Linked DNA regions of Struthio camelus. The protein of the gene in region 4 purifies or fractionates together with the protein of the main gene of each other region. This does not show direct contact. Links are inferred from orthologs where the notes say so. Each region holds a gene or a part of one and is shown on either strand. Other genes may lie near its edges. The genes, in order: ZC3H18, SNRPB2, XAB2 and SF3A1.

Region 1 (7,078 bases), on a different chromosome or scaffold from region 4:
CTGAAAAGACTAGCTTGCTAACCTCAAGCAGGCAGCTTACTCTAACGCATCACACCATCTATAGAGTAAAGCTGTCAGTTAAGATAGGATTTGAAGTACACAGCCACTAAGAAAAATATTCTTGGCAAGCATTATTTCCACTCACAAAATTCCTCCCTCCAAGGTTCAGCCTCTATGGTGCCGAAAAAAGCTTCTTCCAAACGAACAAAGGATGCACCTTGGATGTAGCAGCGTGGAAACTAACGTCGCGGACAAGCCCAGCACCTCAGGAAAGCACCGAGTACTCGACATAAAGCTGGAGCTTGACAGAGCTGTCAGCTCCAACCTTGAAATCCTACAAATTGCCAGTCAGATGGCAAGAAAAAAGTCCATAGCTGAGTGCCATACCCCCCCCGCCCCACCAAGCAGAGAACTCAAAGCTCCATGGGGGCTGTGGGACAGACACCTCCAGATAGATGCCAGGAAAGAAGCAAGAAAATAGCAGCACCTTCTGAAGCTGCTGGTAAGGTAGAAGGGAGGCCTCTCTCTCTCAATAGTCTTTGGGGCAGCAGAAAGTGTTTTTTCCTCATTTCTAGTAGCCAAACATGGTTCAATGCAAGATCAAAACATTTACAGTTAATGAGATGCATAAATGGCAGGGGCTTATGCAGAAGAGAAGGAAGTTCTAGAGCATGGCCTAAGTCAAGCCACAAAGATGGATGAAGAATGATGGGCGGGTTTGAGGGGAAAGAATGAGAAATAGGGCTGACAGGACAAGCTAAAAAAGAAACAGAGCACAAAAACATTTGTGGGACAGAAGTGGAAAACAGAAGCAAACCAGAAATGAATGGAGGGAATCACAATGGGGAAAACGTGGAAGAGCAGCAACAACAGGAAGAGAAGGAAATAAGATGCATCACAATCTAGAAAAGGAACATCATGTAAAGCCGAAAGGATGCGTAGAACAAAAGCAGAGCACCCAGGTCTTTGTTCTGAATGAAACTCTGATTGTTAACAGGATTAATTAAAATAGAATACATACCTATCTGACATCCTTAGAGGAGCACCGACTTTGAAGATGCATAACAAACTTCAATTTTCTAGCAGCTGTCAGAAAACCTTTTAATGCAGAAAACTAAGCTGCCTCTCAGTACTAATTTGAGAGAACTACTTGGTGACAGCCATTTTCAGCTTTTTTTTTTTTTTTTTTTTTTAAGAAGAGCTTACAGAGGTCTGATCCAGAATTTTAACACCAAACACCATACTAGTGCTAGTCAACTGCTTTGTGTCAGGCAGGCTTTAAGACTGATACCTGAACATGAACAAAAATGAAGCTGTAAATAGCTGAAGTTTGTTTTCACAGTGTAATGGATTCTCCTGTTACTAGGACATGCATCACTCTTTCTGCAGCTCCACACTGAACATTAACTTTGAATTACAGGAGCCTCATTCCCATGAGAAAAAATAAGTGCAATTGTTCCTGCATTCTGTAGGATTCATAAATAATCACGCTCTGGAGTCTCATTCCACTCAGAACATTGGATGAGATGGCTTGCAAGGAATTGACTTGATTAGGAAGAGACCTTGACCTTTTTCCTTAACCTAGACAAACCTTAAGAAGATCAGGAGAAAGAATCACACCTTGCAGATGCTGCTCTTGCTACGGCCAAAACAGCGCTGTTAATGGCCGTGTCAGAAAAGCTGAATTACTGATGGCAATAAAATAAAAAATTGTTAGTGCACATCCCAAAAAGAACAGCTCTGAAGAAGAGAGAGCTCTGTTGAAGAAACTCATAGAATTTAAACCACCCGCAGCAGCCACATTTTGGAACACTTACAAAAGTGACCAGAGCTCTGAGCAGAGAGAGCCTTACAGCTGCTGTTTCGCTGCACAGGCGAGACCAACAGGCATTGCACGGGTGCGCAGCACACAGACCACCCTGTCGACCCAGAGGACTGGGCAGCGCGACTTCCCCATCCCGTGGCAGTCAGCGAGGACGCTCCTGACCCATCAGAGAAAGCACCCGAATGCGTGGCCGCTGCAGCGCCCCAGTCCTTCTCCACCCCCTTGCCCCCAGCTCCCCTGGGGCCTCCCTTACCTCACAGGGCCTCCTGCCAGGCTGAGGTCTTTCTGGAGCTCTCCCTGCTCCCACCTGCCTGCGAAGGGAGACAGTCAGCCCTTCCTGTACCTGGTGGCCAGGCTGCACACTCCCCCCCCCGCCAAACTAGGACTCTTCCCCCTCAACACCCCCCCCACCCAAATCCTCCCGCAAACTACAGGCTGTGCCCCCCAGCCTTCCCATCTGGGGGGTGCCCCCCATCCTAGCAGTCCCCCCCCAACTAGGGCTGTCCCCCATCACCCCACCTCCAGCCATTGCTGCCCCTCCCTCTCAGCACCCCCCACCAGGGCTGCCCCCCAACCCTTCCTCACCACCACACAGCTGAGCTGACCCCCCCCCCAACATCACCCCCACTTAGGCTAGATCCTTCCCAGGGCCCCCCACCTGGGCTGCCCCCCCCTTCCCTAAGCTCCCCCCATCCCAGGGCCCCCTCCCACTGGGCTGCCCCCCCCAACACCACCCCCACCTGGGCTGACCCCCCATCCCAGGACCCCCTCCCACTGGGCTGACCCCTCCCCCCAAACACCATCCCCATCGGGGCTGACCCCCCATCCCAGGACCCCCTCCCCAAATACACGGCCCCCCCCCCTTCCCAGCGCCCCCCGCCCGGGGCCGCCCCTCCCCCGCTTCCCCGGCGCCCGGGCCCGCCCCCCCTCGCGGGCGCTAGGCCGCGGCCGGCGCCCGCGGAGCGCGGCCAGGCGGGCAGCGGCTCACCTGGGCGGGCGGAGCGGGGCGGGCCGGAGCCGGAGCCGAGGCCGGAGCCGGGAGCCGGGGCGAGAAGGACGGCGGCGGGCGGCGGCGGGGAAGCGGCTCCGGCGCGGGGCGCGGGACGGGCCGGGGCCTCTACTCGCGGCGGCGCAGGGCGGCCATGGCGTGACGTCATCCGGGCGCGACGGCCTTCGCGCCGGGGAGGGGGGGGGCGGGCGCGCTCGTCCTGCTCGCGCGCACGCGCGCACGCGCACGCGCGCCGCCACCGCCCCGCCCGCGCCTTAAAGGGGACGCGCGCTTCGGCGGCCCCGCGTGGGTGGGGCGCTGGCGGCGGGGTGGTGGTCGGGGGGGGGGGGACACGCGCGTGTGCGGGCAGGTGCACGTGCAGGCGCGCGCGCCCGGGGTAGTGGGGGGCTCGCCTGCACGCACACGCGTGGAGGAGTCCACATGCACGCGTGCGCACGTGGCGGGTGCAGACGGGTGCAGGTGGGGAGGGGGGGGTGCACGAACACCCAGGCGGGGGGGTTCCCGCAGGCAGGCGGGGGGGGTGGGAGGCATGCAAGCGGAGCGAGCACCTGCATGCACACGCCGGGAGGGGCGCACGCGTGCGCGAAGGCGGGGGCTCGACACGCGTGTCCGCGGGCGCGCAGCCGTGCAGGTGCGCTCGCCGAGCTAGGCGCGCCTGTGAACGTGCAGTCAGACCCCTGCGTGCACGCAGACGTGTGCGCGCGCACGCTAAGGCAGACCTAAACGCGTGCACGCCCGGAGCTGGGCGTATAGGTGTTCTTGGGAGCATACATGCAGGTGGTGGTGCGCACCTGGACCTACAGGTGCACACGTGCACGTGGAGGACGTATGGACGTGCACGCAGAAGCATGCCGGCACACGTGCAGGCGACGGCTCCCGGCAGCGGCGCAGCCCGCCTGGCCCTGGGAGCACCTCCCCGTGGCGCTGCGGCCGGGCCCGGCCCCCCGAGGACGGAGCGGGCAGTCCCCCCAGCCGGGCAGCGGCCAGGCCCTCTGCACCGAGCCCTCCGCAGGGGCTGCTGCCCGCGCCGGGGCCGGCAACGCCCCGGAGGGCGGCAGCCCGCAGGGAACCTGCCCAGCGCGCCGGCGGCAGAGCGCCAGGACGCAGCACCGTGCCGGGCTTGCTGGGAGCAGCTCGGCGCCTCGGGGGTGCTCCAGAGCAGCAGGGACGGCGGTTCGGGGCTGGGGGCCGGGCACGCGCTCCTGGGGCCAGCGTCTCCACCGGGCCACGGACTGTGGCCGGGCCGCTCGCCTTCGCCTCCGGCCGCCTCAGGCTCGGGCTGCGCTTTTGCAACCCCGCCGCGCCGAGCCCGTCGGCCCTTCCCAAGGGAGCCAGCTGTCTGCTGCCCGCTCTCCTGGCTCGCAGACCCGGCGTGGCCTCGGACGGCGCAGGGCAGCCGTCCCGGATGCTCTTGCCTCATGCAAGCAGGGGCTGAGCCAGGGCCGTGGGGCCCGCGGCAGCCCAACCGCACTAGCAGCCAGCGGAGAATCCCCTGGGGCGAGCGTGCTGGGAAGCCAGGCTCCGTGGAGCCGGCAGCGCAGGGTGCTCGCTCAGCGTGGGCTGCTGGGGTGCTTGCTGGGGCAGCCCAGAGGATGCTCCCTCTCCCTGGGGCGCTTCCAGGGTGCTTGCTCGGGGTGGGCTGGAGGGTGCTCACTTGGGCACTGGGAGGGTGCTCAGACAGGGCGGGCTGGAGGATGCTCGCCTGGGGCGGGCTGGGAGGGAGGATGCTCGCCTGGGGCGGGCTGGAGGATGCTCGCCTGGGGCGGGCTGGGAGGGAGGATGCCCACCTGGGGCGGGCTGGAGGGCGCTCGCTCGGGGTGGGCTGGGAGGGAGGATGCTCGCCTGGGGCGGGCTGGAGGGCGCTCGCCTGGGGCGGGCTGGAGGGCGCTCGCTCGGGGCGGGCTGGGAGGGAGGATGCCCGCCTGGGGCGGGCTGGAGGGCGCTCGCTCGGGGCGGGCTGGGAGGGAGGATGCCCGCCTGGGGCGGGCTGGAGGGCGCTCGCCTGGGGCAGGCTGGAGGGCGCTCGCTCGGGGCGGGCTGGGAGGGAGGATGCCCGCCTGGGGCAGGCTGGAGGGCGCTCGCCTGGGGCAGGCTGGAGGGCGCTCGCTTGGGGCGGGCTGGGAGGGAGGATGCCCGCCTGGGGCGGGCTGGAGGGCGCTCGCCTGGGGCGGGCTGGGAGGGAGGATGCTCGCCTGGGGCGGGCTGGAGGGCGCTCGCCTGGGGCGGGCTGGGAGGGAGGATGCCCGCCTGGGGCGGGCTGGAGGGCGCTCGCTCGGGGCGGGCTGGGAGGGAGGATGCTCGCCTGGGGCGGGCTGGAGGGCGCTCGCCTGGGGCGGGCTGGGAGGGAGGATGCTCGCCTGGGGCGGGCTGGAGGGCGCTCGCCTGGGGCGGGCTGGGAGGGAGGATGCTCGCCTGGGGCGGGCTGGGAGGGAGGATGCTCGCCTGGGGCGGGCTGGAGGGCGCTCGCCTGGGGCGGGCTGGGAGGGAGGATGCCCGCCTGGGGCGGGCTGGAGGGCGCTCGCTCGGGGCGGGCTGGGAGGGAGGATGCTCGCCTGGGGCGGGCTGGAGGGCGCTCGCTCGGGGCGGGCTGGGAGGGAGGATGCTCGCCTGGGGCGGGCTGGAGGGCGCTCGCTCGGGGCGGGCTGGGAGGGAGGATGCCCGCCTGGGGCGGGCTGGGAGGGAGGATGCCCGCCTGGGGCGGGCTGGGAGGGAGGATGCCCGCCTGGGGCGGGCTGGGAGGGAGGATGCCCGCCTGGGGCGGGCTGGAGGGCGCTCGCCTGGGGCGGGCTGGAGGGCGCTCGCTCGGGGTGGGCTGGGAGGGAGGATGCCCGCCTGGGGCGGGCTGGAGGGCGCTCGCCTGGGGCGGGCTGGGAGGATGCTTGCTCAGGGGACCAGGAGGATGCTCACCCAGGGCAGCCCAGGAGGGTGCTCACTCGTTGCCCCATGCAGTGGGGCGGGAGTGTCAGGCTGGCTCTGCCCCCTGTGCTGGCCCTGCCCCCCTGTTCTGGCTCCGCCCCCTGTGCCAGCTGGGGATTGGCTCAGGCAGCAGGGGCGGGGCCTGAGGGGGGTGGAGCCAGTGGGTGGCAGGTATATAGGGCAAGTGGGGTGGGTGGGAACAGCTAGTGCAGGGGGTGTGGTGTCTGCTGGAGGTGAGTGGGGATGGGGATGGGGATGGGGATGGGGATGGGGATGGGGATGGGGATGGGGATGGGGATGGGGATGGGGATGGGGATGGGGATGCTCAGGAGCAATGAGGCTGCTGGAGGGGAGCCTGGAGCTGCGAGGGTGGGACTGGGATTGGAGGTGCTGTGGACACCTCTGACCCTGTTGCTCCCCTGAAGGGGCCCAGGCAAAGGTGCTGCCCCGTGTCTGCGTCTCACCTTTGCTCCAGCGCTGACTCAGGGGCCCGCGTGCCGCTTTGCGCAAGAGCCTGGCGGGCAGAGGCTGCCACGGCTGCCGCCTCCAGCCTGGCCCCGGCCAAAGGGCAGGCGCAGCCCCTGCGTAAAGGCAGCCGTGCTGGGGTGCTGGTTCACCACCCTGCTGGAGCTGCGTGTGGGCAGGTGCTGGGGGTTCAGGGCTGGTGGGAGGGGGCCTCCCTGAAGGTGGTGAGGGGCTGGAGGATGCTGCTGCCCAGGGCTGAATCCTTGCCTCCTGGCAGGCTCGACCGTGCTCCTTGCTGAGATGGATTATGCCAAGTCCCTGAGTTCGCGCCTAACTGACCCCATCTCCAAGTAAGTGCCAGCCCTGGGGGGGGACACTGGAGCCCTTTCTGCTTTAGCACCTCTTGGCCCCTGGATTGGATGCCCTGGTCTCCAGGGAGGGCTTGGGGGGATGGCACTGCCTGGGGTTGGTGGTCTCCAGAGCCCTTCTGATCCCTCCGTCCCACCCCAGATGCGTCTCCGCAAGTGCCTCCATGACCCAGCAGCTGCTGTGGAGCCCGGCGCCGCGGCCCCGGCCCTACCGCGTCTGCAACTGGGACCGCAGCTTGCGCAAGGGCATCATGGCACGGAGCCTCGCTGAGCTGCTGCTCCAGGTGAGCTGGGGGCCCTCCGCCCATCTGGCGGGGCTCTCCGTCTGGCCTGGCTCCCCCTTCCCATCACCATCACCCCTTGCAGGTTCAGAGCACCCTGCTCGCGCCGGAGCCTGTCTCGCTGGTCCTGGATGAGGATGGCACGGCCGTGGAGACGGAGGCTTTCTTCCGGACGCTGGAGGAGGGCACGGTGCTCATGGCCCTGAGCGAGGGG
Region 2 (7,594 bases), on a different chromosome or scaffold from region 4:
TGCATACAAGGACCTCTTCAGCTCTGTTGAGGGTATGGAAAAACACATTTATTATCATAGGTTATATGCAAATGCTCAGTTTTATGAAGTTTGTTGTTCTCTAGGGACAGTACTTTTTGCTACTTTTAGCTGAAGTAGTAATCTGTTACATTAGTTTAGCCAAAGTTGTTGCATGAGCCCAAGTTCATTTGCTCAGTTTTCATAATGCAAAACCAAGTGTTATATGCCAACTTACAAGTATTCAACTAGCAAAAAAGTCGTACCTCCATCCATTTTACCATTCTAAGGGAGTATAAATTATGCAAGGATTAATGTACACATGAAGTATTATGCATTACAGCCATCAAATACTGAGTAGTATACAATGCCATAACACATGGCAGTAAAGTAGTACGACGTAAAGAAAATACTGTAAATTAGTAATTAATCAAAATAAACATAAGGCAAGTTAAAGTTTGAAATCAGACTGTTGCAAACAAAATTTCATTCTTTCAAGCATATTGAAATATTTTTTTCATATTCTAGATTGGAATATGTTTTCACATAATCACACTATCCCTTACAGTTGCTACAGATTTATTTTCATGATAAAAAAAATCATCTGACTCCACATCAAGTTAAACCTTAATCTTATCCAGTTAACATAAATAAATCCCAAATCCTCTGTAGTGCATTCAAACTTAATATTTCTTATGTTATTCAATTCTTTTATTTGAAGTATTTCTGCTGACTTTTGTTTATTGCTGTTAAGACTCATTAGTACCAGCCCACTGTCACTTTTCCCAACTGTTCTTGATCAGCTACAGCTCTGTATAAGATCAGAATCAACAGGAAACCAATCAAGGGAACTTGTGAAGGAAGTTGCCTTACAAAGCAATGAATGCAGAAGAAGCTTCAGATGTGAATAAGGGAAAAATAAAAGTTTTCATATCAAACATTAAGAAAAATAACTTCAAAAGACGTACTAGAAATCTGGTTTGTAAGCCTGATATTATTGGCAACTTGCAATTCTACATTTTAAAAATAACCAGGCACTTATTAGTTCATAGTACATAACATGCTATAAGAGAACCACTAAGTTTAATTTACTGAGTGGAACAATCTTGACAAATCGATAGTGTACTGGCAAAGTTATTCCTACTTTCAGATCACTCTCTGAAATACCCAAAAGAAATGTTTAAGCAAGGCTAGTGTCTGATCCAGCAACCCACTGTTCACAAACAGTATTAAATTATCTTTATCCCTTTTAGATTAAGAATTATGCATAAACATTGAAAAGGAGAGCCAGATGGTCCCACACAGACATTGAGTACACAACCAGATAAGAACAAGTGATCTTATTAGCACATCGTGAGGAGCTAAAAACCCTCAACAAGAAATTATCACTCTCTAAAGAGGACCTCAGTAACCGCATACATACATCAAGTCTCCAGTACAATGAAGGGAAACAAGTTAGCTTATGCCACTTTCAGTGATTTTCTAAGGCATTAAATTGAAAAACAAGCATACAGATATTTCCACTTTCAGTGAATGGGACCACCTGAACATACACAAACATGCCTGTTAGGAGTAACCTATCAGAATATTAGATGACTACTATGATTACACTTATTTAAGGATAAACAAGCTTAATCTGTAAGATTAGCTGTACAACTACAGTATACAAGCAATCAGAAGCTTCCTTAAAAATAAATAAGAACTCCAGCTTGTGGAAAAACTTGCGCATGGTCCAAGGCTGGCTAACTTTACCTACTTCTTCATGAAAAAGATTTGACAGCTGAGAACTTGGTTCATGATCACCACTTGCAGTACATTACTAGACAGCTTAGAGGATCTTTGAGGGTGAGATGCTACCAAAACATAAGCTTTTGAGCTTAGGCTCCAGAGCAGTAAAAACTGCAGGCCAGTATAAGCTTGACCTTTTATATATGAGAATTTTATATGCGACGGCTTTCTACTAAACATAAGAGTCACAGACATTCATACCTTCTTTTTTAATCTTGTCATTTATATTGTTGATGTAAATCGTATGGTTTGGCCGGATATCCATCCTCCAACTCGCTTACACACCTGCCTGCAAACAGAGCACACGCATCGCAACGTTATAACGGATGAAGGCTCGCCCCGGCAAAGGAGGCGCCGCCAGCCCCGCGGACGCCCCACAACCCAGGAGCTGGTTAACTAGCGCGGAAAGCGCAGCGGCAGCGCGCCGGGCCCCACCGCCCGCCCCTCTCCCCGGCCGTTTAACAGCGCTCCCGCACCTACCGCAGCGCCGCGACGCCCCGGCCCGAGCACGTTACCCCCCCCGCCCCCCGCGCGCCAGCGGCCGCGGCCCCACGGCCGGGCCCCCCGGAGCGGCCCAGAACACGACGGGGACCCCAATGCCTCTCCCGGGAGCGGGGCCGGGACCCCGGGGCCAGGCAGGCCGCCGCCGCCGCCCTGGCTCACCTCTCCCCGCCGAGATGGAGGCCGCACCGCGCTGCGCCGGCCGCCTCTTCACGCAGCGCAAGCTGACGAGCCGATCCCGCCGCAATCGATGTGCCGAGCGCCGGCGGGTCGATGTCGCCCCGCCCGCGGCTGACGCGTGCGCAGTGGCAGGTTGGGCGGCGGTTGGGCGCGTTGCCGTCCTGTGTGGCTCCAAGTGCCGCCTCCTTGTTCGCGCCGCCTGCGCTCTGTGTGGAAACAGGCCCTCCTGGCACGAAGTACCTGGGAGTCTAGCTGAGAGAGGGTTTTTTTCCCCCTCTCAGCTCAGAGCTGAGCTCGTTGCTCGGAGCTGTGTTGACCCTGAAGCCGACCTGAGCAGCAGTGCTTTCCATCGCGCTCGAACAAGAGCCTGGCAGCACTGCAAAATTCAGTCGTCAGGCTCCTTGATGAGGACGTGGCCTGTAGGCAGTATTTAAGAAAGAAAGCACCCTACATCCCTGCAAAGCGAAGGGAGGAGAGTAATGCCTGTCGCTCCAGTGGTTCCCGGAGGAGAAAATAGTGTTTGTTTTTCTCATACTATGCTTATCTGGTTCCTCAAACGTTTCCATCGTTGTTGCTGTGCTAGTTTTCCAAAGGCAATGAGATAAAAGGGAAAATGCATCGTAAAACCGTTAGACAAATAGCTTGGTTTAAATAACAAAGATTAGCTGACTGCGTGTGAATCGTTTGTTCTGTGGCTGTTTCCACCTTCTCGGTAGAGATAATAAAAAATGTATGCACAGTGCAATTATTTTTTACATATCATTTAGCAATTATTAAACAAAAGCGTTATTGCCAGTTATCAAACTACATACAATAGAAATTGGTATAAAAGCCGTAATGCATTTTTTCTTGTGAGTCAATGACACCACATTATTAGTTTAGAACTCAAATTTCTTTCTGAAAACCGTCACTCGCAGTTAGTTCTTCGTGTCTTACTGCAGCCCCTCTGTCTTCCTCATTACAACACAATTAAAAGCTTGTGTGAAAATAATCCAAACTCTCTTCCCTGCTCTTTATGTGTGCTGCATCCAAGTCACAGTTAACCTTAGTAAGATAATTTGTATACCTCAGATGGAGAAGAGAGAATATTTTACAGATTTTTTTCTATCTTCTTTTCATATTTGGGGAGGTGGGATGGAAATCTCTAGAACCGGTTCCTATAGTGCAGGTGAAACAGCAGGATAAGGCAAACTGCAAGTCGGCAAAGCACACTCAGCAGCGGCCCTGCTTCCCCCCTCAGCGAGCCCCGAGAAGGTAGCTGGCGCGGGTGACGGCCTGGCTCTGGCTGCTGCGGTTGCGCCCGCACAGCCTGCCCTTGCACAGGGAGCCCCGGCTTGGCCTTGCCTGCAGAGCGACTGCGCAGAGCTGAGGAGCCACGCTGCTCCGGGGCATCCAGCCAGGCACGCACCTAAGAGAGAACCTGCCTGGTGTGAGGTCCACTGAAGCCCACAGAAACACCTCTGTGAACTCCATCTTCTTGCTTTGAATCAGTCCCAGGGTGAAAGAGGGAGTAGTAGGTTTGGCTTCACTGAAATCACAGCGACTCTTAAAACTGATTAAATTAGGGGTTTAGTACATGTATTTCACTATTTGTTTCCCCAATTCTTAGCTCTGATGCGTTCAAGTAGAGTACTGAGCAAACTTAACTATGATTTTTGCTTCTTTTGTCAACATATGAACTCATGGAGAGTAAAGAAAAGCAGAAATTTGAAAACACCTGCAGACAAATATTCATTAACTGACATTTGTTTTCAGTTTGGAGATTGAAAAGGCAATGTATCTAATTTCTTGAAGATACTTTTACAATCCCTGCAGTAACAGTACCTCAGGATAAATAAACAGAGCAGAGATTCTGAGGTTGCAACCTTTGAATTTTTGGAATAATTTTGCAGGCAGAATGCCTTTACTTTTATGAATGATCTTACAGACTTTTTCAGAAGCAATTTTATGTTGTGAAGATTTAACCTGGTCGCATGTGAAAAAGAAGCTCTTGGGGGAAAATATAATCCTTAAGATGGTTCTTGTTTAAACTGATTTGGACAGGTCCACAGTGAAACTTATCCCTTTGTAGTGAGACAGGAATATTAGGAAGGGTTGTCAGTTCAGTCACATTTTAAGAAAAAAAAATGACTTCCACGTTCTGGAGTTTTCCCCAGTAAAAGGAAAATATGTTATCACAGAATCACACAGAATCACAGAATGGTGGAGGTTGGAAGGGACCTCTGGAGATCATCTAGTCCAACCCCCCTGCTCAAGCAAGGTCCTCTAGAGCATATTTCTCAGGATCGTGTCCAGGCGGGTTTTGAATATCTCCAAGGATGGAGACTCCACTACCTCTCTGGGCAACCTGTTCCAATGCTCTGTCACCCTCACAGTCAAGAAGTTTCTCCTCAGGTTCAGATGGAACTTCCTGTGGTTGTTTCTGCCCATTGCCTCTTGTCCTGTTGCTGAGCACCACGGAGAAGAGGCTGGCCTCATCCTTTTGACGCTCCCCCTTCAGAAACTTGTACACATTGATCAGATCACCTCTCAGTCTTCTCTTCTCCAGGCTAAACAGGCCCAGCTCTCTCAGCCTTTCTTCACAGGAGAGATGCTGCAGTCCCCTCATCATCTTGGTAGCCCTCCGCTGGACTCTCTCCAGGAGTGCCATGTCTCTCTTGTACTGGGGAGCCCAGAACTGGACACAGTACTCCAGGTGAGGCCTCCCCAGGGCTGAGCAGAGGGGCAGGATCCCCTCCCTCGACCTGCTGGCAACACTCTTCTTAATGCACCCCAGGATCCCATTGGCCTTCTTGGCCACAAGGCCACACTGCTGGCTCATGCTTAACTTGTTGTTCACCAGCACTCCCAGGTCCTTCTCCAGAGCGCTGCTTTCCAGCAGGTCAACCCCCCAGCCTGTACTGGTGCATGGGGTTCTTCCTGCCTAGGGGCAGGACCTTGCACTTGCCTTTGTTGAACTTCAGGAGGTTCCTCTCCGCCCACCTCTCCAGCCTGTCCAGGTCCCTCTGAATGGCAGCACAGCCTTCTGGTGTGTCAGTGACTCCTCCCAGTTTAGTATCTTCAGCAAACTTGCTGAGGGTGCACTCTGTGCCTTCATCCAGGTCATGGATGAATACATTGAACAAGACTGGACCCAGTATAAGCCCCTGGGGAACACCACTAGCTATAGGCCTCCAACTTGACTCTGCGCCACTGACCACAACCCTCTGAGCTCTGCCATCCAGCCAGTTCTCAATTCACCTCACCATCCACTCATCTAGCCTGTGCTTCCTGAGCTTACCTCATAGCTTACATCTATGAAGATGTGATGGGAGACAGTGTCAAAAGCCTTGCTGAAGTCCAGGTAGACAACATCCACTGCTATCCTCTCATCTACCCGGCCAGTCATCCCATCACAGAAGCAAGATTTCCCTTGGGTGAAGCCATGCTGACTATTCCTGATCACCTTCTTGTCCACGTGCTTAGAGATGGCCTCCAGGATGAGCTGTTCCATCACCTTTCCAGGGACGGAGGTGAGGCTGACAGGCCTGTAGTTCCCTGGGTCCTGTTTCTTGCCCTTTTGGAAGACTGGAGTGACGCTGGCTTTCCTCCAGTCCTCCGGCACCTCTCCTGATTGCCAGGACCTTTCAAAGAGGATGGAGAGTGGCCTAGCAATGATGTCCCTCAGCGCTCGTGGGTGCATCCCATCAGGGCCCATGGATTTATGGATGTCAGGTTTGCCTACGTGATCTCTAACCTGATCCTCCTCGACCAAGGGAGAGTCTTCCTTTCTCCAGACTCTCTCCCTGGTCTCCAAGGTCTGGGATTCCTGAGGGCTGGCCTTAGCAGTGAAGGCTGAAGCAAAGAAGGGTGTTCAGCAACTCTGCCTTCTCTGTATTCTTCGTCATCAGGGCACCCACCACATTCAGTAGTGGGCCCACGTTTCCCATGGTCTTCCTTTTGCTACTGATGGATTTGAAGAAGCCCTTCTTGTTGTCCTTGACATCCCTTGGTAGATTTGATTCCAAATGGGCCTTAGCCTTCCTTGACGCATCCCTGCATACTCTGACATTGTCCCTGTAATCCTCCCGAGTAGCCTGTCTCCTTTTCCACATTCTGTAGACTTCCTTCTTCTGTCTGAGTTTTGTCAGGAGTTCCTTGCTCATCCATGCAGGTCTTCTGCCCACTTTGCTGGATTCCTTACTCAGAGGGATGCACTGATCTTGAGCCTGGAGGAGGTGATACTTGAATATTAACCAGCTTTCCTGGACCCCTCTTCCTCCTAGGGCCCTATCCCATGAGATTCCCCTAAGTAGGTCCCTGGAGAGGCCAAAGTTAGCTCTCCTGAAGTCCAGGGTTGCAGTCCTACTTATTGCCCTGCTTCCTCCTCGTAGGATCCTGAACTCCACCATCTCATGGTCACTGCAGCCAAGGCTGCCCCCAACCTTCACATCTCCAACTAGACCTTCTTTGTTTGTTAGTACAAGGTCTAGCGTTGCACCTGTCCTTGTTGGCGTCTCCACTACCTGGGTCAAGAAATTATCATTGATCCTCTGCAGGAACCTCTTTGACTGTTTGTGCCGAGCTGTGCTGTCTTCCCAACAGATGTTGGGGTGGTTGAAGTCTCCCATGAGAACCAGGGCCTGTGATCGTGAGGCTACTTCCAGTTGTCTGTAGAAGGCCTCATTAACTTCCTCTTCCTGTTCAAGTAGCCTGTAGTAAACCCCCACCAGCGTGTCACCCATGTTAGCCTGCCCTTTAATCCTTACCCATAAGCTCTCAGCCTGTTCTTTATCTACCCCTAGGCAGAGCTCCATACATTCTGGTTGCTCCCTCACATAAAGAGCAACTCCACCACCTCGCCTTCCTGGCCTGTCCTTCCTAAAAAGCACATAGCTGTCCATGACAGCATTCCAGTCATGTGAGCTATCCCACCGTGTCTCTGTAACTGCAACGAGATCATGGCCCTGCGACCACACACACAACTCTAATTCTTCCTGCTTATTCCCCATGCTGCGTGCATTGGTGAACAGGAAACTTGTATTTAGGAAACTTATAAAGAACAGCGTGGATTAAAGTGAGTTGAATGTAAAAGCAAAAAATAAGTTCTTGGTTGAGATGTTATTTACTGGTGGAAGAGAATAGTGTG
Region 3 (7,295 bases), on a different chromosome or scaffold from region 4:
GGGACGCAGACGTGAGATGGGACAGGGACGTGGGGACGCAGACGTGAGGTGGGACGGGGCCACAGGGACGCAGACGTGAGGTGGGACGGGGACACGGGGACGCAGATGTGAGGTGGGACGGGGGCACGGGGACGCAGACGTGAGGTGGGACGGGGCCACAGGGACGCAGACGTGAGGTGGGACGGGGCCACAGGGACGCAGACGTGAGGTGGGACGGGGCCACAGGGACGCAGACGTGAGGTGGGACGGGGGCACGGGGACGCAGACGTGAGACGGGACGGGGACACGGGGACATGGGGACGCAGACGTGAGATGGGACGGGGACACGGGGACGCAGACGTGAGGTGGGACGGGGACACGGGGACACGGGGACGCAGACGTGAGATGGGACAGGGACGTGGGGACGGGGACGCAGACGTGAGGTGGACGGGGGCACAGGGACACGGGGACGCGGACGCGAGATGGGACGGGGGCACGGGGACACGGGGACGCAGACATGAGATGGGACAGGGACACGGGGACACGGGGACGCAGACGTGAGATGGGACAGGGACGTGGGGACGGGGACGCAGACGTGAGGTGGACGGGGGCACAGGGACACGGGGACGCGGACGCGAGATGGGACGGGGGCACGGGGACACGGGGACGCAGACATGAGATGGGACAGGGACACGGGGACACGGGGACGCAGACGTGAGATGGGACAGGGACGTGGGGACGGGGACGCAGACGTGAGGTGGACGGGGGCACAGGGACACGGGGACGCGGACGCGAGATGGGACGGGGGCACGGGGACACGGGGACGCAGACATGAGATGGGACGGGGACACGGGGACACGGGGACGCAGACGTGAGGTGGACGGGGGCACGGGGACACGGGGACGCGGACGCGAGATGGGACGGGGGCACGGGGACACGGGGACGCAGACATGAGATGGGACAGGGACACGGGGACACGGGGACGCAGACGTGAGATGGGACAGGGACGTGGGGACGGGGACGCAGACGTGAGATGGGACGGGGGCACGGGGACACGGGGACGCAGACGCGAGACGGGACGGGGACACGGGGACACGGGGACGCAGACGTGAGGTGGGACGGGGGCACGGGGACACGGGGACGCGGACGCGAGATGGGACGGGGGCACGGGGACACGGGGACGCAGACGTGAGGTGGGACAGGGGCACGGGGACACAGGGACGCAGACGCGAGACGGGACGGGGACACGGGGACACGGGGACGCAGACGCGAGGTGGGACGGGGGCACGGGGACGTGGGGACGCGGACGTGAGATGGGACAGGGACACGGGGACGCAGACGCGAGACGGGACGGGGACACGGGGACACGGGGACGCAGACGTGAGGTGGACGGGGGCACGGGGACACGGGGACGCAGACGTGAGATGGGACGGGGACGTGGGGATGCACACGTGAGGTGGGACGGGGCCACAGGGACGCAGACGTGAGGTGGGACGGGGACACGGGGACGCAGATGTGACACAGGGACGGGGACGACGGGGACGACGGGGACGCGGGGACGAGACAGGGCTGGGCCACGGGGACAGAGGGGAGGGGGCTGGGGACAGGCGGAGAGGAACGCGAGGGGCAACGGGGACGCAGCAAGGGACGTGACAGGGGACGGGGGGAGGACAGGCAGGCGAGGGGACGGGGACAGCAGGGGACGCGGGGGGGCGGGGGTGCAGAGGGGGCGTGGGAGGGGGACGCGGGCACAGCAACGCGAGGGGGACGAGGGCGGCGACGGGAGGGAGCGCGGGGCGAGGGGGGGGACGTGGGGACACCGGGGGGGACGGGGAAGGGACAAAGAGAAGGGACACGGGGACACTGAGGGCACAGGGGGAGGCGGGGCGGGGGGGGACACGGGGGGGACGTGGGGGGGGGGGCGCGGGGACACCGGGGGGGACATGGGGATGCAGGAAGGGGGACAAGGGGACACAGAGAGGGGACGCGAGGACACCAAGGGGGACACGGGGATGTGGGGAGGGGGACACGGGGGGCGTGGGGACACCGAGGGGGACGGGGGGACGCGGGGGGGCGCGGGGACACCGAGGGGGACGGGGGGACGTCCCAAAACCGGGGAGCCCCCTCTGGCGCCCCTCCCCCACCCGGGGTGCCCCTCCCCCACAGGCTCCCAAAACGGGGGGTGGGAGACCCCCGCCCCTCCCCCACCCGGGCGCCCCTCCCCCACAGGCTCCCAAAACGGGGGGAGGAGGGAGACCCCCGCCCCTCCCCCACCCTGGCGCCCCTCCCCCCACCGGCTCCCAAAATGGGGGGTGGGAGACCCCCCGCCCCTCCCCCCACAGGCTCCCAAAACGGGGGAGGGGTGTGGGAGACCCCCACCCCTCCCCCCACAGGCTCCCAAAACAGGGGGGGAGGAGGGAGACCCCCCGCCCCTCCCCCACCCTGGCGCCCCTCCCCCCACCGGCTCCCAAAATGGGGGGTGGGAGACCCCCGCCCCTCCCCCACAGGCTCCCAAAACGGGGGGGAGGGAGACCCCGCCCCTCCCCCACCCGGGCGCCCCTCCCCCCACAGGCTCCCAAAATGGGGGGTGGGAGACCCCCGCCCCTCCCCCCACAGGCTCCCAAAAAGGGGGGGGAGGGAGACCCCCGCCCCTCCCCCCACAGGCTCCCAAAATGGGGGGTGGGAGACCCCCGCCCCTCCCCCCACAGGCTCCCAAAAAGGGGGGGGAGGGAGACCCCCGCCCCTCCCCCCACCAGCTCCCAAAACAGGGGGGTGGGAGACCCCCCGCCCCTCCCCCCACAGGCTCCCAAAACGGGGGGTGGGAGACCCCCGCCCCTCCCCCACCCGGGGCGCCCCTCCCCCACCGGCTCCCAAAAAGGGGGAGGGGGGTGGGAGACCCCCCCGCCGCCCCCCCGGGGTCTCCCGCCCCCACTCACGAAGCGCAGCTCCGCCCGCCCCGCGCCCGCCGCCACCGGCGGCGCCTCCGGCTCCGGCATCGCCGCCGCCGCCGCCGCCCCGTCCCTCCCGCGCCCGCTTCCGGCGCGCCGCGATGACGTCACGCCGCGCCGCGCGCTCATTGGCTGCCGCCGCCGCCGCCGCTTCTTCCCCTCGCCCCGCCCTTCCCCACCCCTTCCGCCCCCTCCGCCAATGGGCGGCGCCGCTGCTCGGAGCTCGACCAATGGGCGGCGGGCTTGTTGCGGCGGGCGGGGGCCGGAAGCGGGGAGCGGAGCCGCCATGGGGGTGAAGCTGGAGGTGTTTCGGGTGGGTGAGGGCGGAGGGGGCGGGGGGGGGCGACAGGGCCGGGGGGGTGACGGGGGGTGACAGGGTCGTGGGGGGGCAGTGGGGGGTGACAGGGGGGTGACAGGGCTGGGGGGGTGACAGGAGGGTGACAGGGCTGGGGGGGTGACGGGGGGGCGACAGGGCCGGGGGGGTGACGGGGGGTGACAGGGTCGTGGGGGGGCAGTGGGGGGTGACAGGGGGGTGACAGGGCTGGGGGGGTGACGGGGGGGCGACAGGGCTGGGGGGGTAACGGGGGTTGACGGGGGGTGACAGGGTCGTGGGGGGGCAGTGGGGGGTGACAGGAGGGTGACAGGGCCGAGGGGGGGTGACAGGGCCGGAGCGGCAGTGGGGGGGTGACGGGGGGGTGACAGGGTCGTGGGGGGGGCAGTGGGGGGTGACGGGGGGGTGACAGGGCTGAGGGGGGTGACAGGGCAGTGGGAGGGTGACGGGGGGGTGACAGGGTCGTGGGGGGGGCAGTGGGGGGTGACAGGGGGGTGACAGGGTCGTGGGGGGGGCAGTGGGGGGTGACAGGGCCGAGGGGGGTGACAGGGGGGGTGACAGGACTGGGGGGAGGCAGTGGGAGGTGACAGGACTGGGGGGGCAATGGGGGGTAACGGGAGGTGACAGGGCTGAGGGGGGTGACGGGGGGGTGGCAGGGCCGGGGGGGTGACGGGGGGGTGACAGGGCCGAGGGGGGTGACAGGGCCGGGGGGGCAGTGGGGGGTGACAGGGGGGTGACAGGGCTGGGGGGGTGACGGGGGGGTGACAGGGCTGGGGGGGTGACGGGGGTTGACGGGGGGGTGACAGGGTCGTGGGGGGGGCAGTGGGGGGTGACAGGGGGTGACAGGGCCGAGGGGGGTGACAGGGCCGGGGGGGGCAGTGGGGGGTGACAGGGGGGTGACAGGGCTGAGGGGGTGACAGGGGTTGACGGGGGGGGTGACAGGGTCGTGGGGGGGCAGTGGGGGGTGACACGGGGTGACAGGGCTGAGGGGGGTGACAGGGCTGGGGGGGTAACGGGAGGTGACAGGGCTGAGGGGGGTGACGGGGGGTGACAGGGCCGGGGGGGACGATGGGGGGGCGACGGGGGGGTGACAGGGCCAGAGGGGGACGATGGGGGGGGTGACAGGGACGGGAGGGGGGCGGATAAGGCCGAGGGGGGCAGTGGGGGGGTGTCCCCTGCCCTGGCGGGTGACACTGGGGACATCCTGGGTGACACTGGGGAGACTGTTGTGCCCTGGCAGCGGTGACAGCGACACCGGGGGGGGGAAGGGGCTGCCCCACCCCGGCAGGGTGACACCAGGGGACATCTGACACTGGGGAGAGGGGGACTGTCCTGCCCGGGCTGGTGACGCTGGGGACCCCGGGACACGTCCTGCCCAGGCAGGGTGACACCAGGGGACATCTGGCACTGGGGGGGGGGGACCATCCTGCTCCTGTGGGTGACAGTGGGGACGCCTCATGAGGGCAGGGTGACACTGGGGACGTCCTGCCTGGGCAGGGTGACACTGGGGACATCCCACAAGCTCAGAGTGGCGCTGGGGACGTCCTCCCTAGACAGGGTGACACTGGGGACATCCCGCAAGCTCAGGGTGACACTGGGGACATCCTGCCCAGGTGGGGTGACACTGGGGACGCCGCGCGAGCTCAGGGTGATGTTGGGGACGTCCCGCCCAGGCAGGGTGACACCGGGGACACCCTACAAGCTCAGGGTGACACTGGGGACGCTGCGCGAGCTCAGGGTGACGCTGGGGACGTCCCACCCAGGCAGGGTGACACTGGAGACACCCTACAAGCTCAGGGTGACACTGGGGACGCCGTGCGAGCTCAGGGTGACGCTGGGGACGTCCCGCCCGGGCAGGGGGACACCGGGGACGCCCCGCAAGCTCAGGGTGACACTGGGGACATCCTGCCCAGGTGGGGTGACACTGGGGATGCCCCACGAGCTCAGGGTGACGCTGGGGACGTCCCGCCCGGGCAGGGTGACACTGGGGACACCCTACAAGCTCAGGGTGACACTGGGGACGTCCCGCGAGGGCAGGGTGACACCGGGGACACTCTACAAGCTCAGGGTGACGCTGGGGACATCCTGCCCAGGTGGGGTGACACTGGGGACGCCGCACGAGCTCAGGGTGACGCTGGGGACGTCCCGCCCGGGCAGGGTGACACCGGGGACGCCGCGCGAGCTCAGGGTGACGCTGGGGACGTCCCGCCCGGGCAGGGTGACACCGGGGACGCTGCGCGAGCTCAGGGTGACGCTGGGGACGTCCCGCCCGGGCAGGGTGACACCGGGGACACCCTACGAGCTCAGGGTGACGCTGGGGACGTCCCGCCCGGGCAGGGGGACGCTGGGGACGCCCCCGCGAGGGCAGGGGGTGCCCGGGCGCTGTCCCCGGCCCTGCGGTGACGTCCCCTCGTCCCCAGATGCTGCTCTACCTGTCCTTCCCCGTCAGCATGTTCTGGGTGTCCAACCAGGCGGCCTACTTCGAGGAGCACGTGGTGCGCAGGAAGGTGGGTGCCCGGACGCCTGGGCCCCCGCCGCCGGCGACGGTCCCCGGGGTGCCCGGACGCCTGGGCCCCTGCTGCGGGGGAGGGTCCCCGGGGTGCCCGGACGCCTGGGCCCCTGCCGCAGGGGAGGGTCCCCAGATGCCTGGGTCCCTGCTGCGAGGGAGGGTCCCCGGGGTGCCCGGACGCCTGGGCCCCTGCTGCGGAGGTGGGTCCCCGGACGCCTGGGCCCCTGCCGTGGGGGAGGGTCCCCGGGGTGCCCGGATGCCTGGGCCCCTGCCGCCGGGGAAGGTCCCCGGACGCCTGGGTCCCCACTGCGAGGGAGGGTCCCCGGGGTGCCCGGACGCCTGGGCCCCTGCCGCAGGGGAAGGTCCCCGAACACCTGGGCCCCTGCTGCGGGGGAGGGTCCCCGGGGTGCCCGGACGCCTGGGCCCCTGCTGCGGGGGAGGGTCCCCGGATGCCTGGGTCCCCACTGCGAGGGAGGGTCCCTGGGGTGCCCGGACGCCTGGGTCCCTGCTGCGAGGGAGGGTCCCCGGGGTGCCCGGACGCCTGGGCCCCTGCCGCCGGGGAAGGTCCCCGGATGCCTGGGCCCCCGCTGCGAGGGAGGGTCCCCGGGGTGCCCGGACGCCTGGGCCCCTGCTGCGGGGGAGGGTCCCCGGATGCCTGGGTCCCTGCTGCAAGGGAGGGTCCGCAGGGTGCCCGGACGCCTGGGTCCCTGCCGCCAGGGAAGGTCCCTGGACACCTGGGCCCCTGCTGCGGGGGAGGGTCCCCGGGGTGCCCGGACGCCTGGGCCCCTGCTGCGGGGGAGGGTCCCCGGATGCCTGGGTCCCTGCTGCAAGGGAGGGTCCGCAGGGTGCCCGGACGCCTGGGTCCCTGCCGCCAGGGAAGGTCCCTGGACACCTGGGCCCCTGCTGCGGGGGAGGGTCCCCGGGGTGCCCGGACGCCTGGGCCCCCGCTGCGGGGGAGGTCCCCGGATGCCTGGGTCCCCACTGCGAGGGAGGGTCCCTGGGGTGCCCGGACGCCTGGGTCCCTGCTGCGAGGGAGGGTCCCCGGGGTGCCCGGATGCCTGGGCCCCTGCCGCCGGCGACGGTCCCCGGGGTGCCCGGACGCCTGGGCCCCTGCCGCCGGGGAAGGTCCCCAGACGCCTGGGTCCCCACTGCGAGGGAGGGTCCCTGGGGTGCCCAGACGCCTGGGTCCCTGCTGCGGGGGAGGGTCCCCGGACACCTGGGCCCCTGCTGCGGGGGAGGGTCCCCGGGGTGCCCGGACGCCTGGGTCCCTGCCGCCAGGGAAGGTCCCCGAACACCTGGGCCCCTGCTGCGGGGGAGGGTCCCCGGGGTGCCCGGACGCCTGGGCCCCTGCCGCCGGGGAAGGTCCCCGAACACCTGGGCCCCTGCTGCGGGGGAGGGTCCCCGGGGTGCCCGGACGCCTGGGCCCCTGCCGCCGGGGAAGGTCCCCGGACGCCTGGGTCCCCACTGCGAGGGAGGGTCCCCGGGGTGCCCGGACGCCTGGGCCCCTGCCGCCAGGGAGGGTCCCCGG
Region 4 (7,999 bases):
TTACTAAAATGGAGCACTGGTAAGTAAGCTCCCTTTTTACCTGCAATTCTCTTTCCCTTCATGTCAAGTCATAGGATAGCGACTGCTCCAGTTTCTAGATCCACAGAGACAGGAGCACTGGAGGTAGAGAGGCATGGAAAACCCTGAAAACACGGGACACAACACTAGCATCATTTACCTGGCTACGAAGCTGGCAGTCTTGTCAACAATATTCCTGACCTCTGGAGGAGGGTAAATAATTCCTACCACAGGCTTGGCTGGTGCTGCTTCCTCTTTTGGCTCCTCTTCTGGCTGCAAGAAAGATATAGATAGATATATATAATTTCCTACAGTCCTCTGTACTGCTGCCTTGTAACTAAAACAGTCCTGTCAGCCACTTCATCATTCATAAGATGGTTATAGGATAGTACAGGAAGAGATCTTTCATTGCAGAGTTTGCAATCAGTATGTCAAGATACTAAGCTGTAATAACCTAAATCAAAGCTGATAAGATAAAGAAATTCAAATAATATTTGAACAACAGGCTATCCACCAGCATCAGGGTGTGAAAGCACGTTCTGACAGGCTGCAAACTGAGACTGGGTTTATCCTGAATCGGTTAGCTCGAAAAATGAATTTCCCTTCTCTCTCTGCTTCCTTATCTGTATTGGAAATAACAATCCTAGCATACCTTTACAAAAGGCTTAATGAACGCTGTATCAGAACCAAGTATTCTAACCAGCAACCCAAACGCTTGACAGAACTGTCTATTCTGTACCCCAGCCCCCAAATCATTTTACTATTCTGATGCAAAAGTCTTATCCTTTCTGCTCTAACTGGTTTAACAATCTCAATCAACAGCCCATTCCTGGCTTCCCAGGGTGAGAAGATAATATTTGTCTGCTTGTCAAGGGCATTTACTGCAGAGGCTGACATAGCAAGGCAATAAAAAGGAAGGCCGCTCCATGGGAACCATAAATAAGTCTTTCCAGCATTTTTAGTATTTCAGCCTTGACCCTGAGTAGGTTATAAACACTGTGGCAAGAGGCAGTGGAAGAGACCGCCTGTAAGAACACATGCGGGAATAATTTAGCATTGCTAAATAGGTTTGGAAGTTATGAACACTCCCAGCAGCTTGTGGAACTACAAAAAGCTAGAACCTGAATGATTACATCTAGATTAAAAAAAAATCCCATAGATCTTAATCATATTGAGGTTGCATCAGAAGCTTCTTTTCATAGAGGCTAAACTCAGCAAGGTATTTTCCTCACAGATATTACAGTAGGCTCTAAACTAAAAATCACAGAACTCTTCCCAAGAATAGTTTTATCTTTCAGTAAGATAAGAAGCTGTTCTTTGCAGGATAGGAAAGATATCTCCCCTCTTGTCTTAGCAAGTAATTTTCACAAAAAACACCATTATAAAAGACAGGAGATACATGAGAAGTGTTTGTAATCTTAAAAGTGAGGGTCAGGGGAGTTTTAAAACACCGCTATGCTGCTACTAGTTTTGCTGATTCTGTGTCAGAAGTTGGTGATTCCAAGTCAGAAGACGGATTCGTGCAAAATACAACTTTAACAAAGTATTCTGTAAGGAAAAAGGCATCATAAACCTTTCTACTTTTCACTCCCATTCCCTGAGAACCAGAACATCAGAGGACCAGAAGGAGAAGGCAATACCACGCTTGAGGGACATTTTTATTTGAATACCATGCTGAGTCACCTTGTTAATTTACATCTATGAAAGTGACAGGGTATTTATCGGGAGCTACAGCTTTCCTCCTAACTGCACTTGCTACACCAAATCACCTAAGCAGCGATATTCCAGGAGCAGCTGCATTGTAGCCTTAGCCAACATCAGTCCAGGCTGCTGCACTTCTACCCTGTGCACTAACCCTACAGCTTTAACGGCCATAAAACAGGCCAGTTCAACATACTCGTTCAAATTAACCTTACCAGGAGCAGGAGACAGATTTTCAGTTAGATCAGCTCCTTACCCTATCTTACTGCATGGCTGCACTAATGCTAACGCTAGCGTGGGGAACACCAAGAACGCACAACCAGGATGGCAGCTAAAGCTACGCTAGAACCATATGTCACCAACATATGATTTTGGCTTTTACAGAAGGCCAAAAAAGGCTCCTGAGGAGGTGAACATGACCGAGACAGAACAAGCAAGAATATGTGAAGGCCCTAGAAGAACATGAGAGACTGAGTCCCCTAAGTCCCTCTAGGACAGGTTTCTTGAGTCTTTTCCAAGCTTTTGCACATCCCTCCCAAGGGCAGGGCTGCTTCCACAGTTAACAGCAAACATTCACCTCCATCACAATCACAATCCTCTGCAGCTTCCACGAAAGGATCCGTACTTACCCGGAAGTGAACTATTTGCCCCACCCAGCTAGCGCAGACGTATAGGGAACCGCGGGTGAGTCCTATGGGCGCAGCAAAAAATAACAGGATGGAAATGTAGCCGCCCCAAAACCAAGAGAAATGGGTTAAACCCAGAAGCCACCGGCCAAAATAAACCCAACGAGCCCGGATCGCTAAAACGCAACAGGAAGCACTGAACAAAACGCTGCCTCTGCATCCAAAATATACACCCATAAAAAGCAGAGCGAGCCCCCGCACCCCCAGCTCAACGCCAGGAGAGCCGGAGCGCCCCTCCGCCTCAGCTGCCGACGGACTCCAGGGGCTCCGGGCGCGGCCTGCGGCCCCTCCGGGCGCAGCGGGCCGGGCCGCCCCGCTCCCGCGCGGCCCGTACCGGCTTGCCCTCCGCGGGCGGCGCTGGCTGCGCCGGAGGCATCGCTTGCACGGGCCCGGCCGGCATGGTGATCCCTCGGGGCGACGGGGGCCGCTTCCCCGCCGGAGCCGCTCCTCGTCCGCCGCTGCCCGGAACCCCGCAGCACCCTCACCACCACGGCCGAAATGGCGGCCGGCCCCTCCGAGCTGCGCACGCGCGCCGGGTGTGACGCACGCTGCGCGCGAAGGCGAAGCGCGGGCGCACGCGCGGCTCGAGGAGTACGGGTCGCCCGGGGGCGGGGGCCGACGAAGGAGCAGGGCGCATGCGCCGGGGACAGTGCCATTAACGGGCCACAAGAGGGGGAGGAGCGTTCCATTGCGGGGGCCGGGGGCAGTGGGCCGTGCCTCGGGGGCGTGGCCTGGCGCGGTTGCCGTGGCGGCGGGCGCGCCGCGGGGCGTGGCCTGGCACGGTTGCCGTGGCAGCGGGCTCACCGCGGGGCGTGGCCTGGCGCGGTTGCCGTGGCAGCGGGCTCACCGCGGGGCGTGGCCTGGCGCGGTTGCCGTGGCAGCGGGTCGCGCCGCGGGGCCGGGGCCGGGACTGGGGTCGGGGTCGGAGCGGCGCGGCGCGGCGGCAGGTGGGTGCGTGTCCCCCCCACGGGCACCTCCGCGCCGCCTCGGCACATCCCCCCGGGGACCCCCGCGCCCCCGGGGCCCTCCCGCAGACTGCCGTCCTCCCCGGGACCCGCCGCTGGCTCCCCCCGGCGCGCCGCCAAGGCCCCACCGCGTGGCCCTGCCGGCACAGACCCCCACGGCCCGGCGGCGCACAGCGCGCGGAGTCCGTTCTGGCACACACGGTCCGTCCCGGCCCATAGGCTCCATCCTGGCACGTATGATCAGTCCCGGTGCGTGGGGTCCATCCCGGTGCGTGGGGTCCGTCCTGGCACACAGGGTCCGTCCTGGTACATGAGGTCCATCCCAGTGTGTGGGGTCCGTCCCGGTGCGTGGGGTCCGTCCTGGTGCGTGGGGTCCGTCCTGGCGTACAGGGTCCATCCTGGTGCATGAGGTCCATCCCAGTGCGTGGGGTCCGTCCTGACGCACAGGGTCCGTCCTGGTGCACGGGCTCCATCCCGCTGCGTGAGGTCCATCCCAATGCATGAGGTCCATCCCGGTGCATGGGGTCCATCCTGGCGCACAGGGTCCGTCCTGGTGCATGAGGTCCATCCCAGTGTGTGGGGTCCATCCCGGCGCACAGGTTCCATCCTGGCGCACAGGGTCCATCCCAGTGCAGGGGGTCCATCCTGGCGTGCAGGGTCTGTCCCAGTGTGTGGGGTCTGTCCCAGCGCACAGGCTCCATCGCGGCGCGTGGGGTCCATCCTGGTGCATGGGGTCCATTCCAGTGCACAGGTCCATCCTGCCGCCTAGGGTCTGACCTGGCACGTAGGATCTGACCTGGTGCCACATGTGTGTCCCTACCCTGGGCTGGCCTCAGCTCAGCCTCGGTCCCGCAGAGCTCCCGCCTGCAGCCCGGCAGCCGGCCGGCCTCCGCAGCCTTTCCCCATCGGACCAGGAGCTCATCGGACGCAGCACAGCGGCGGGGCGGCCCGTGGGCTGAGTCAGGCTGGAGCTGCGGAGCCTCATCCTGCCACCCCGGCATGGCGCACCTCCTGGGCAGCCCCACCTGCATGGACAGCCTGAGGGCTGACATCACGGACCTGCAAGGAGCCATCGCCGACGTCTTCTCCCGGGCTGGGGCTGTTCGCTACCCTTCCTGGAAGTTCCCCGATAAAGTATCCTGCGAGCTGGACCTGGTGGAGCTGCTGGAGCACTACGACTACGTGGAGAACGACCTCGAGTTCACCCAGCATTCCCACGTGGTGCTGCTGGAGCTGGTAATCGACAGGTGAGAAGAGAAAACGAGCCCAAACCATCCCCTACTCCTTTTAAAAGAAGGCTGGTTGGTCCAGTGGCTCCTTCCCTTTGGAAGGAAGGCAACATTTCTGCATCCAACCTGTCAAACGTGTCCACGTAGCTGCATTTCTGCTTGGAGACAGGTGCTGGCACACCTGCAGTTGGAAGGGTGGGATTTGTGCTCCAGAGCCCAGCCCACCTGCGCTGAGTGTTAAAACCCAAGTCCTTTCCCTTGCCCGGGTGGGATCAGAGCTACCGGGAAGGCACTCTGGGCCCTGATGCCATCATTATGATCAACATTGGGGTCTGTGGATCAGTTGGGACTCTCAAAGGCCTTTAACCTTTTAGAAAGTTATTAAGCAATGGTTGTTGTGTGGTCCCTGGCTTGGTGCCCCTCTCATTAAATAGCCCCCCAAAACCCTGGGAACGCTCGAACCCAATCGCAGCTCTACCTGGGAGAGCCTGGGAGGCAAAAGTGCCCTTTGCGACCTGGGTTAAGTAAAATAATACTCAATTTTAAAGACAAGCTGCTCATGCAGAGCTGCTTCTGGATATTTGGCCTTGATGTTGGCAGCCTTAGTGCCCCAAATCTCCTGGAATTGGCTGACTGCACCAAGAGTACGTCCCCCTTGAGTAACCCCCTGCAAGCAGAGTGCACGGTCTGCATCTTTGCGGCTGCCTGAGGATTTTAATCCCACCAAACGTTGCTCCATTGAGCGATTCAGGACAGAGGAGGGGAGCTGCGTGGGGGCTGATATCCAGCCTCCTTGGACCAACTCAGACTGTGCAGGGAATGGGGAGGGAGGAGAACCTCTGCCTCAGCCCTGGCCCTGCACTGTTAAATGCCAAGGGCCCTCTCCCTGTTCCAAATACTCTGTTGCGCTAAGCTGTGTTTCGTTTCTGTCGAAGAAGGCTGCTCCTGCTGCTTCAGAGCTTCACAGGCTATGCAGAAAACCTGCTCAGCGACAAAGCCATCCCCCCAGCGCAGGCAGTGGGGCCCTGCATGTCGGCGGGGCTGACGGTGCGGAAGTACTGGAACAGCATGCTGAAACTGGGAGCCCTCTACAAGCAGCTCCTGACTGAGGTGGGACATATGGGGGCCCTCAATTGCCATGAGCCGAGAGCAAGGCTCACAGAAATACCCCTTGCCTCAATCCCCCCTGGTTCAGAAGCTGCCTCAGGCCTGCATGCAGCATCGTGCTAAGGTCACAGTCCTCTGGGATGCCACCTGATGTGTGGTGGTGCAGGGGTGACAGAGCAGGAGGGAGCCCTGCCCTGGCAGGTGGCATGGTCTCATAACAGGTCTTCTGGCTTAACCTTGAGACAGTGCACGGAGGCGTGAAGGAAGGGACAGTAACCAGCGCAGGAGCTGGGAAGCAAATTTCATGGCAGACGCCTTCCACTGTGAAACCACAGCCTCCACCTGGCTAAGGTATCAGTGGCTGAAAAGCTACCCAGCAGCTTTTAAAATTCAGTTCCCTGGCTTCCTCCCTCAGGGAGTACCCAGGATCTGCGTGAACAAATTGATCTTTTGTTCATTAGCCATTTGTCTTGGTTGTAATATATGGATATGTAAGATATTTAAGATATGGAGCACAATAAATAGGAACCCCCAACTGCTTGGTAACGTTGTTCTTCCCCCAAGCTCCTGGAACTTCTCTCCTTCCAAGAGAAGGCCTCACTGCCCTCGTAGCCATTTGGCTGCGCTCTCACTGATGTCCCATTCCCACATTTAACACCTTTGCATTCAGGCTGATCTGGATCATTTGCAGCTGTCTTGGTTGCACTGTTCAATCTGGGCCCTATGTTTTTCTTCTGTGCTCTCTCCCCCAGAAGATGACTTGCACAAAAGACATCTCCACACTGAAATCTACCCCTGAGGGTGTGAAAACTGAGAAGGAGCATTTGAAGAGCTGTTCACCTGCTGTTTCGGAGTTAACCTCATCCATAGATATTGCCCAGTCAACCTCTTTGTGCCTGCTGCAGAGTGTCAGCGTGCCAGACTGTGACACCTCTGGCAACTCGCTTCCCAGGTCTACATGCAGCCGCAGCATCCCCACACAGACAACTGAGTCATCTCTGGTACCCTGTGACTCATGTGCTAGTGCACAAGCCAGCCTCCGGGAGGTCAGCAAAGCCATCACCGGCATCTGCCAGAGTCAGAACATCCCCTCGGCTCTGAGCAGATTCCACGAGACATTGGAGGAGACCATGGGTAGAAGGACCCTCTCTGCAATGGACATGAGTTACTGGGCCTCAGAACAAAGCAAGGACCTCTCCCGGATCAGCAAACATCTCCACATGCTGCTGCAGCTGATAAACCCTCTGAAGTCAAAGCTGGAAGAATCAGAGAAACAGAAGGATGAGCTGCAGAAGCAGGTTGAGGAATTTGCCAAATTGCTTCAGGAAGAGAAGAAAACCCAAGAACAGCAGAGGAAGGAGGCTGAGCAGACCCTGGAAGTAAAGAAGAAAGAGTATTTGGAGACTGTAGTCAAACTGGAGCAGGATAAGGAGGACCTACGGAGAGGTACAGTGTTGTTTCCAGCATCCCCTCCTGGGATTGTGGGGATTTGCAGGAGAGCCACAGAGCCCATGATCAAGTCTTGGTCCCCCTGCAATGAGCAGAGCTTTTGCCATGGATTTTGATAGGCCCAAGTGTCATCAGCAAATGCCTGTTCATCACTCCTCAGCTTTCAGGTGTTTTCTCCATGGTCCTGTGGCTGAGAGACCCAGAGAGAAGCCTTACTGTGGACTTTCCTTTAGCTTGGAAGTTTCCTCTTCATCTATCCCTTGACAGCAACTCTTAGGAGCTCCTCCCTGAAGCAGATAAGGGTTGGTGCACTGGAACCACTGCTTTTCCTGATGTCCTGATCATCTCCCACCTTCCTTTGCTGAAGCCCTCCGTCCCCACTCCTCACTCTCTCATTTCCACCTCTCTGCAAACTCTCCATGCCCTGTCACTATATAGCATCTCGGGCCTGGTCCCTGCTGTGAGACACTGTCCTCAGACAGTGGAATGGGTTGTCCGTGTCCTTTCATTGACTTCTCTCTGCTGAAGCACAGCATGATACTGTTACTGGATGAGGAATGCTTTGGCGTAGTCATTTGCTACCTGCTTGTTTTAGTTTCATTGAAGAGCTGTGAAAAGTTTAGCTGAGTTTTCTCATTGGTTTAGGAGCTGCTCTGCTGGAAGAGCGAATCTCTACCTTAAAGGAAGAGCTGGCTGCTAAGCAAGCTACTCTGCAGGAGCTGGGTAAGGATCCCTGAGGCTTCATCCAGCTGGCAGATCTCATCCAGAGATCTTGCTCTGATCTCACACTTGTTTTACACATATGTAACTCCTGGCTTTCCTGGAATTGCTCGTGCTTAGTGTT

What was found.
Region 1: the proteins of SF3A1 (region 4) and ZC3H18 purify together in Homo sapiens (affinity purification with mass spectrometry; 3 studies listed by BioGRID and IntAct, with this or other methods). This does not show direct contact. The link is inferred for Struthio camelus from reciprocal best matches to the Homo sapiens genes SF3A1 and ZC3H18.
Region 2: the proteins of SF3A1 (region 4) and SNRPB2 purify together in Homo sapiens (affinity purification with mass spectrometry; 5 studies listed by BioGRID and IntAct, with this or other methods). This does not show direct contact. The link is inferred for Struthio camelus from reciprocal best matches to the Homo sapiens genes SF3A1 and SNRPB2.
Region 3: the proteins of SF3A1 (region 4) and XAB2 fractionate together in Homo sapiens (co-fractionation; 3 studies listed by BioGRID and IntAct, with this or other methods). This does not show direct contact. The link is inferred for Struthio camelus from reciprocal best matches to the Homo sapiens genes SF3A1 and XAB2.

Annotation. Positions count from the first base shown.
Region 1 is NC_090951.1:2,518,341-2,525,418, forward strand, and holds the start of ZC3H18 (zinc finger CCCH domain-containing protein 18), read right to left. Parts: upstream 3,003-7,078; 5' UTR 2,814-3,002; intron 2,137-2,813; 5' UTR 2,079-2,136; intron 2,026-2,078; exon of another isoform or gene 146-2,025; intron 1-145. Other genes in the region: lipid transferase CIDEC, read left to right, coding at 5,710-5,983, 6,493-6,565, 6,726-6,867, 6,950-7,078.
Region 2 is NC_090944.1:134,156,868-134,164,461, forward strand, and holds the start of SNRPB2 (U2 small nuclear ribonucleoprotein B''), read right to left. Parts: upstream 3,013-7,594; 5' UTR 2,449-3,012; intron 2,075-2,448; 5' UTR 2,051-2,074; coding exon 1,987-2,050; intron 24-1,986; coding exon 1-23. UniProt on the Homo sapiens protein: Involved in pre-mRNA splicing as component of the spliceosome. Associated with sn-RNP U2, where it contributes to the binding of stem loop IV of U2 snRNA.
Region 3 is NC_090972.1:3,512,502-3,519,796, reverse strand, and holds the start of XAB2 (pre-mRNA-splicing factor SYF1), read right to left. Parts: upstream 3,010-7,295; 5' UTR 2,976-3,009; coding exon 2,916-2,975; intron 1-2,915. Other genes in the region: protein PET100 homolog, mitochondrial, read left to right, coding at 3,214-3,240, 5,679-5,765. UniProt on the Homo sapiens protein: Involved in pre-mRNA splicing as component of the spliceosome. Involved in transcription-coupled repair (TCR), transcription and pre-mRNA splicing.
Region 4 is NC_090958.1:4,786,994-4,794,992, reverse strand, and holds the start of SF3A1 (splicing factor 3A subunit 1), read right to left. Parts: upstream 3,006-7,999; 5' UTR 2,806-3,005; coding exon 2,740-2,805; intron 292-2,739; coding exon 179-291; intron 1-178. Other genes in the region: CCDC157 (coiled-coil domain-containing protein 157), read left to right, coding at 4,370-4,617, 5,535-5,709, 6,459-7,152, 7,801-7,878. UniProt on the Homo sapiens protein: Component of the 17S U2 SnRNP complex of the spliceosome, a large ribonucleoprotein complex that removes introns from transcribed pre-mRNAs.